2 linked regions of the Schizosaccharomyces pombe genome follow. The protein of the gene in region 2 binds, or shares a complex with, the protein of the main gene of each other region. Each region holds a gene or a part of one and is shown on either strand. Other genes may lie near its edges. A codon is read from its position in the direction of its gene.

Region 1 (3,753 bases), 1.7 Mb from region 2:
TTCCTTCGGGGGTATCACGTTCACCGATCACTAAAGGACGAATGCCATTGGGATCACGGAATCCCAAAACACCCAAGCCTGCGATCATAGCAACACATGCATAACCACCATTAACGCGATCGTATACATTACGCAAAGCTTCGAAAATATCATTTTCGTTTATACGAAATTTATCCAACCGTTGAAGCTCGTAAGCAAAGATGTTAAGCAAAAGCTCAGAATCAGATCCAGTGTTTACATGACGATGGGCCTCAGTGTCCAAAAAGCGTCGTAATTCGGGTCCATTAATTAAATTACCATTATGGCCCAACACAAGACCATAAGGAGAGTTAACATAAAAGGGTTGTGCTTCAGAGTGAGCACAACTTCCAGCAGTAGGATAGCGCAAATGACCAATACCCATACTACCTACGAGTTGGCGAAGTTGATGCTGACTAAAAACATCGGCAACCATGCCGGATCCCTTGCATTGGTAAAGACGACCTTTGTTTCCAGCGGTTACAATACCGGCGGCATCTTGACCCCGATGCTGCAAACTGTAAAGACCCTCATAAATTTCAGGACATGCCTGTTGATGAGGGTCAGCAAGCATTAACGCCAAAATTCCGCACATTTTCTAAAACTTGTTAGAGCTTCGGTTGTGAATTGAATACAAAAGATAATAAAATGATAGGTTTAAATGTACAAAAGAAAAAACAGCACCCAGTCAAATTGCTATAACTTGATTAAAATAATATGAGTCGGACTGTTCTATTCGGACAGCAATCAAAGTTTGAGAATACTTGGAATATAATTTCAATTTTTTTGTACCGACCGTAAAATGAGTTGTATGTTACCATCACAGAAAATAAAAAATTTTAATCAATTAAGCAGACCTCAGAAAACCTTGTAGCTACATAAGATGAAATTCAGAAGTCTAGCATCTAAATAAACGGTAATCATCATAGGCAAGTACTGCGGCGTTGGAAAATCAATATCTATATTAACTTACTTTTTAAAACGCGTACGAAACAAAAAAAAAAAGATTTTCAGGTACGCGCTGAACAAACACCGTAGTTGGGTATATTGTTAAGGCAAAATTTTGCTGCCGTATAAATTAATTTATTGTCCGCCTTAAATGATAGTGAAGTATGAGTCGAAACTATGACTGCTCAAGATTGTGATGAACGATTCGCTAAATAGAAGCTTAAAGAGAGGTGGGATATGCGCACGTTAATATAGGTAACAGGTATAGCTTGCTACTTAGCTGACAGGGTAGATGATATTAAATTGTTTGCTATTTTTGTTGCCAAAAAAAATTTTTTAAGCTTAAAAATATATCTTTAAATAAAACCTTCTTATATCAAAAAAAATTCGATGAAGTTAAGAGTGGTGCAGTGTTACAGTAATGCCGCATACACATCAACTTATTATTGAGCTTTACCGGAGGTATCCCATTACTATTTATTTGTTATAAAATCTTTCAATGTTCTGGTTTTTCTTCCTTCTTTACTCGGTAGTTAACAACAATACATTAATCACCGAGATGAGAGCTATGGGTAATCTAATCCAAAACTTTTAGTTCAACTTGTTACGATTGCAGTAGTCCAATGGTTTTTAAACTTAAAAAACTAATGAAAACAATACACAATGTACTGTATCTCTAATCTTCTGATTCCTCAAAATAATAGTTTACTAACCGGCTTCAAATATTTGTTCCTTAATTGGTGTACAGAGGATCATTTTCTGAGCGCTTGATTGATATTTTTTACTATCGGATTGATTATAAACCAGGATCGCGAAAACGTACCGATTTATAAATCGTTGATTATTAAAACATCTTTTTTAATATTGCACATTAAACAAAATTACAAGTGCAAAGCAATAATTAGTTTTCAAGCAGCTCCACATTTTGAGTTGGTAAATCATTTTAAAAAAAAATCATCAATAGTTCATATTTCATGAATACATTTTTCTAAACACAAATATAAATTCAGCACATTTTTATTTCAGATAGTGATGTGTAACGTGTAAACTTTTGGCTCGTTAGTAGGGATCTAGGAAAGTAAGGTTTTCCATCTTCATCAAATATTGGCGTACTGCAAAAAAACCCAATAATTCGTCTTCTATCAGGTTATAAAAGATTTTGGCTTCAAAGCATCCTTTTAGGTAAAAACCTTTTGTAAAAGCATCCAACGCCTTGAAGAACAACATCTCACAATGTCGTTGTATGAGCATGCTGCACTTCCTTTAGCCAGTAGCCCTTCAATCCTTGGACCTATTTCTGGTGGACGAAATCGGGGGAATATTCAATTACAGTCTATTCCGATTGAATTTCAAGCTGTTGTTTTTGCAGGATTTGGCAATAGGTAAAACAAACAAGTGTAGTACTGACTACTTAACGATTTGGATAATGATGACTTCGCACATATTATCTTCATCAACACTTAAAAAAGATAAAATAACAATAAGAAAATACTAACCATGTTTTAGTTTATATCCTTTGACTGGAAGCGATGCACTTCCCAAGGCTTTATTACCTATCGGCAATAAACCGATGCTTCACTACCCATTATATTGGCTTGAAGCTGCTGGATTTACTTCTGCTATTCTTATTTGCATGGAAGAAGCGGAAGCCCATATCAATGCTTGGTTACGATCTGGCTACGAGGGACATATGCGTATTCACGTGGAAGCACCGACTATTTTAGATGATTCTAAAAGCTCTGCCGATGCTCTTCGTGCTGTATCCCATCTTATAAAGGTATGATTTATTTTTATGTATAAGTAGATATGCATGTGTTCTTAGACTTTTTGATCTTTTCTCTCTCATTCTGCAATTTAATTACTCGTCTTAAAGTCACAAAAAATGCTAACCGATACCCACCAGAATGACTTTGTGTGTCTCAGTTGTGATAGTATAGTTGGTCTCCCTCCCATATACGGTTTGGATAAGTTTCGCCTTGATAACCCTTCAGCACTGGCTGTATATAGTCCAGTGTTAAAATATGAGCATATTACAAGTCAATCTAAAGAGATTGATGCAAAACAACTGATTGGAATTGAAGAGAAGACGAGCAGACTATTGTATGCCAAAAGTTCCGCAGACGTGGGCAGTGATTTTACATTTAGAATGTCTTTGTTGTGGAAACACCCAAGGGTTACGTTAAATACAAACCTTTCGGATGCCCATATATTTGTATTTAAACACTGGGTTATTGATTTGATCCGGGAGAAAGAATCTATTTCTAGCATTCGTGGAGATCTCATCCCGTATCTTGTTAAATGTCAATATCAGAAATCCTTTACTGTACGAGAGAACATTCAAAGATGTAAGTGCTTTTTTTAATTAACTATTTTCTAACAATTAAAGTTTTGTCATCTCCTAACAATATTGATAATTATGATGGGGGATTATCCTCACAGGAAATTAAAATTAATGCTTTAATTGCCAAAGATGGGATTATTTGTTCTAGGGCTAATAATTTACCTAACTATTTCGAACTTAATAAATGCGTATGTTTTCGAAAGCTGAGCTTCATCTCGCTTTTTAGCAGTTTCATCCAATATCTCTAACAGCAAACTAGATCGCCAAACTTACTCCAGAACAACGCCTTGTAGATGTCACCGTGTCCGAAAGAGCACTGGTCGGTGCCGATTGTATGGTGAATGAAGGTACCACCATTAAGGATAACAGCAACATTAAAAAGAGCATTATCGGTAAAAATTGTGTAATTGGAAAAGGGGTAGTGGTCAGCAACTCTATTTTGATGG
Region 2 (3,753 bases):
TCACAATTATTTATTTGTTTACTTATTACATAAGGCTAGTGGATCACCTTAATCTTTCTAACTACACACACCATAAGAGTACAAAATTTTAGCAAGTATTTTGTATCAATTGAAATGTTTAACTTTACAAGACAGTATAGTGTTAAAGACGGCTTAATAACAGATGAATTGGCCAGTCACATCGTTGAGAACTTGCCAGCAAGATATGCTTCTGCTGAAACTTGGAAACGAATCTATTCGTTGCAACATGACGGCGCATCTCTTCAAACAATGTACTTAGCCTGCGAAAAGGAAAAAGCTCGAAGCGGCCATCCTAAAGGGGCTTGCATTTTAGCTGTGCGCGATACAGACGGCGATGTTTTTGGAGTTTTTATCCCTGATTATTTAATTCCTGCACCTCATTACTTTGGTTCCGAGGAAACCTTCTTGTGGAAATATTTTCCTCCCAAAAAGTATGTACATTACCCTTTCGTAGGAAATTCCAATTTTGTTGCATATTGCACCAAAAGCTTTTTGGCATTTGGTGGGGGTAATGGAAGATACAGCCTTTGGCTTGATGGCTCTCTAGAGTACGCTTACTCTAGTCGTACTCCTGCATTCGAAAACAATCCTTTGAGCTATCGTGGCTGTCCTGACCAACGAATCCAAATCGTGGACATCGAGCTCTGGGTATTGGAGTAATATCAACTAACGAATGAAAAGAAAAAAGAAAATAAAAGATGGACTCGGAAATGTGCATCAGCCCAAGTTTTATATTTATATCAAGATTAATATTTTACCGTGCTTTCTTTATGACTAATTTATTCAACCAAAGACAATTTTATGCTGACTCTATGCATTGATTATTATTCTTAATTCAAGTTAACTCGTTGATTTGCATGTTCAATCAATGAATATCGAGTTTACCAGAAATTCGAGCCGTAGGACTCTTCCCTCCCATTTGTGATGTATAGCTTTCTATCATCAGCTAATTTTTAATACTTCTTCTCAATTCCGGAAGATTACGTTTGTTAATTGATCAAGCATGAATATCCTTGCTATTAATTTCTTTACGCCTTATGCATTGAGTGAACGAATCAAATGAAGAGCATCCCCAATATCTTCTCCCCAATTGTCTATTATTTATTAATTTTCTCTTTTTCTATTCATAACTTTTAATGCTACACTTAGTATATTTATTCACGTGGTTGCTTTTCATCAACAATTCGTATCGTCCCTAATTGACGAATCGATTTCTACCATCCACTTTATATCAGTAATAATAATTATTATGAAGTTTTATTTATTATGTTTCTTTTTGATTACCGTGTAAACACTTGAAACCTGTATTCAAATCTCGATAAACTACCATAAGATTAGTAAAATGTTTGCAACCACTACCCAATTGTAGAAAACAAATTGACAAAATTTACCAACTTAACAGGATAAATCACCGTTTATATCTTCTGTTTATTATGTGGAATTTTTGTGGTTACTTAAATAAAACCACTTTCTTTCGCCAATAAACTATAAAAGAAATGAGCTATGCAAATTTAATATCCTAAATTTAATTACTCTTTGATTATTAACGTCTTTATAAATTCCTTTTTAGTCTCTAGTTGATGAATTGTTTAGAATAATCTTTAAGTTATAAGGCAGTGGAGCACGGCATCCTTAAATGACTGTTTGGGCTTAAATGATATTGAGAAATATGTCTAATCCCTCTACATTGTCGAAATGCCTCCATCCAAAGGGCTGAATGGCAAGCTAGAAAAGCCAAAACACGCTCTGCAAGGTAATGTTTTTGGGATTCAAAAAGTGTTTGTTACTAATTTTTAGCGATTGTTTTGTCGGATTCTTATAATTATCGGTTTCGCCCTCTTACATTAGATAAACCTCGCGTATGCAATTACCAGTGTACACTTTAAGTACTAATATTATTAGTGTCTTCTTCCTTTAGCAAATACCCCTTTAATAGAGTACACTTTTGAGTTTTTGGCATTGGCCGGGGTGCAAGAAGTTTATGTATTTTGCTGTGCCCATGCAGGACAAATTCGAGAATATATAGAGTATGTGCTAAATTGAGGTCTTAAATTCGAATTTCTGATACGATATAACTAACACAATATAACCCACAGAAAGTCAAAGTGGAATCTTCCCTCTTCCCCCTTTAGTGTAAACACGATTGTGTCAAGAGAATCTCTGTCGGTTGGTGATGCTTTAAGAGAGCTCGATTCAAAACAGCTAATTACCTCCGATTTCATACTCGTATCAGGCGATGTGGTATCCAATGTGCCTCTAAACGAAGTTTTGAAAGAACATCGGAAGCGCCGTGAAGATGATAAAAATGCTATTATGACAATGGTTGTACGAGAAGCAAGTCCATTTCATCGTACACGCGCCCGTACAGAGAGTTCTGTTTTCGTGATAGATAAAAAGACCAGCCAATGCGTGCATTATCAAGCTAACGAAAGGGGAAAACATTATGTTTCTATGGATCCCGAAATCTTTAATGAGCATGAAGAGTTGGAGGTTCGAAATGATTTGATTGACTGTCAAATTGACATTTGCTCCAATGATGTACCTGCCCTTTTTACTGAAAACTTTGATTACCAAGACATTCGAAAAGACTTCGTATATGGTGTTTTAACCTCTGATCTTTTAGGAAAAAAGATTCATTGCCATGTTGCTAAAGAAAATTATGCAGCTCGTGTTCGTAGTCTTCAAACTTATGATGCTATTAGCAAAGATGTTCTTTCTCGATGGGTCTATCCTTTTGTTCCCGATAGCAATCTTCTTAACCAAACTTTTAGTTATCAAAGACATCAGATTTATAAGGAAGAAGACGTTGTTCTTGCTCGTTCTTGCATTATTAAGGCACGAACTTTGATCGGTGCCTATACCAAAGTCGGTGATGCGTCTGTGGTTGCGAATACTATCATTGGTAGGAATTGTACCATAGGCAGCAATTGTAGTATAGACAGTGCTTTCCTTTGGGAAGATGTTGTCATTGGAGATAATTGTCGAATTGGCAAAGCCATTCTTGCCAATTCTGTAAAAATTGGAAATAATTGTTCAATTGAAGATGGTGCTATAGTAGCTGCAGGCGTTGTTATTGGGGATAATACAATAATTGAAAAAAATAAGCGTCTTACAACTTTCGAGAGTCACTCTCAAGGAACTTTGAACGATCCATCTTTGGTAGGGATTGGTGGACGTGGTCAAGAATATCATGCCGAAGAGGATTCTGATGATGAGGGAGAGTTTATGGAGGCTTCAGGGCTTATTGAAAGTACAAATGAGTTACATTTATCTGATTCAGAATCTTCAGAGACAAGTTCGTCTTCTGAAGAAGATATGGAATTTATTCCCTTTTCAGCTAGACGCGATTCTGCCAATACAATTAACTCAGAGGATTTCGATGAAGGAGATTTCAACAAGGAAGCTCAGCAGAGTCTTGAACGTGCCTTTGAAGAAAACCACCAAATTGATATTGCTGCTCTTGAACTCAATACCCTCCGAATGGCCATGAATGCCAACTATCACGAGGTGCGATCCGCAATTGTTCTTGCTCTTTTAAGGCGTATCATGCACTTAGATGTATCCCCCAAGGAGGCACTAGCAAAAGTAATGACACGTTGGGGTCCATTGCTTGCAAAACTGACATTTAGCCATGAAGAGCAAGTTGACAACGTATTAACGCTGCAGAAGTACTGTGTCCGTTTGAGTATGACTCGGCACTTTTTACAACTTTTGGGATATTTCTACCAATTA

The links.
Region 1: the proteins of tif225 (region 2) and tif223 are in contact, whole or in part, in a crystal structure (PDB 5B04), measured with the Schizosaccharomyces pombe proteins. Residues at the interface, in NP_594285.1 of Schizosaccharomyces pombe: Glu161 (codon at 2,353), Pro164 (codon at 2,362), Phe165 (codon at 2,365), Arg169 (codon at 2,377), Ser174 (codon at 2,392), Val176 (codon at 2,398), Lys181 (codon at 2,413), Gln190 (codon at 2,440), Asn192 (codon at 2,446), Lys196 (codon at 2,458), His197 (codon at 2,461), Tyr198 (codon at 2,464), Val199 (codon at 2,467), Ser200 (codon at 2,470), Met201 (codon at 2,473), Pro203 (codon at 2,479), Phe206 (codon at 2,488), Glu210 (codon at 2,500), Glu211 (codon at 2,503), Leu212 (codon at 2,506), Glu213 (codon at 2,509), Val214 (codon at 2,512), Arg215 (codon at 2,515), Asn216 (codon at 2,518), Asp217 (codon at 2,521); in NP_594962.2 of Schizosaccharomyces pombe: Leu195 (codon at 3,032), Glu200 (codon at 3,047), Gly215 (codon at 3,092), Ser216 (codon at 3,095), Asp217 (codon at 3,098), Phe218 (codon at 3,101), Thr219 (codon at 3,104), Phe220 (codon at 3,107), Arg221 (codon at 3,110), Met222 (codon at 3,113), Ser223 (codon at 3,116), Leu225 (codon at 3,122), Trp226 (codon at 3,125), Pro229 (codon at 3,134), Arg230 (codon at 3,137), Val231 (codon at 3,140), Thr232 (codon at 3,143), Leu233 (codon at 3,146), Asn234 (codon at 3,149), Thr235 (codon at 3,152), Asn236 (codon at 3,155).

What each region holds. Positions count from the first base shown.
Region 1 is NC_003424.3:5,365,349-5,369,101, forward strand, and holds the start of tif223 (translation initiation factor eIF2B gamma subunit tif223), read left to right. Parts: upstream 1-2,056; 5' UTR 2,057-2,199; coding exon 2,200-2,348; exon of another isoform or gene 2,349-2,417; intron 2,418-2,472; coding exon 2,473-2,743; exon of another isoform or gene 2,744-2,866; intron 2,867-2,869; coding exon 2,870-3,311; exon of another isoform or gene 3,312-3,352; coding exon 3,353-3,495; intron 3,496-3,566; coding exon 3,567-3,753. Other genes in the region: amidophosphoribosyltransferase Ade4, read right to left, coding at 1-613. UniProt on the Schizosaccharomyces pombe protein: Acts as a component of the translation initiation factor 2B (eIF2B) complex, which catalyzes the exchange of GDP for GTP on the eukaryotic initiation factor 2 (eIF2) complex gamma subunit.
Region 2 is NC_003424.3:3,669,461-3,673,213, reverse strand, and holds the start of tif225 (translation initiation factor eIF2B epsilon subunit tif225), read left to right. Parts: upstream 1-1,707; 5' UTR 1,708-1,716; coding exon 1,717-1,774; exon of another isoform or gene 1,775-1,818; coding exon 1,819-1,880; exon of another isoform or gene 1,881-1,923; coding exon 1,924-2,048; exon of another isoform or gene 2,049-2,117; coding exon 2,118-3,753. Other genes in the region: V-type ATPase inhibitor and disassembly protein in response to oxidative stress Oxr1, read left to right, coding at 115-681. UniProt on the Schizosaccharomyces pombe protein: Acts as a component of the translation initiation factor 2B (eIF2B) complex, which catalyzes the exchange of GDP for GTP on the eukaryotic initiation factor 2 (eIF2) complex gamma subunit.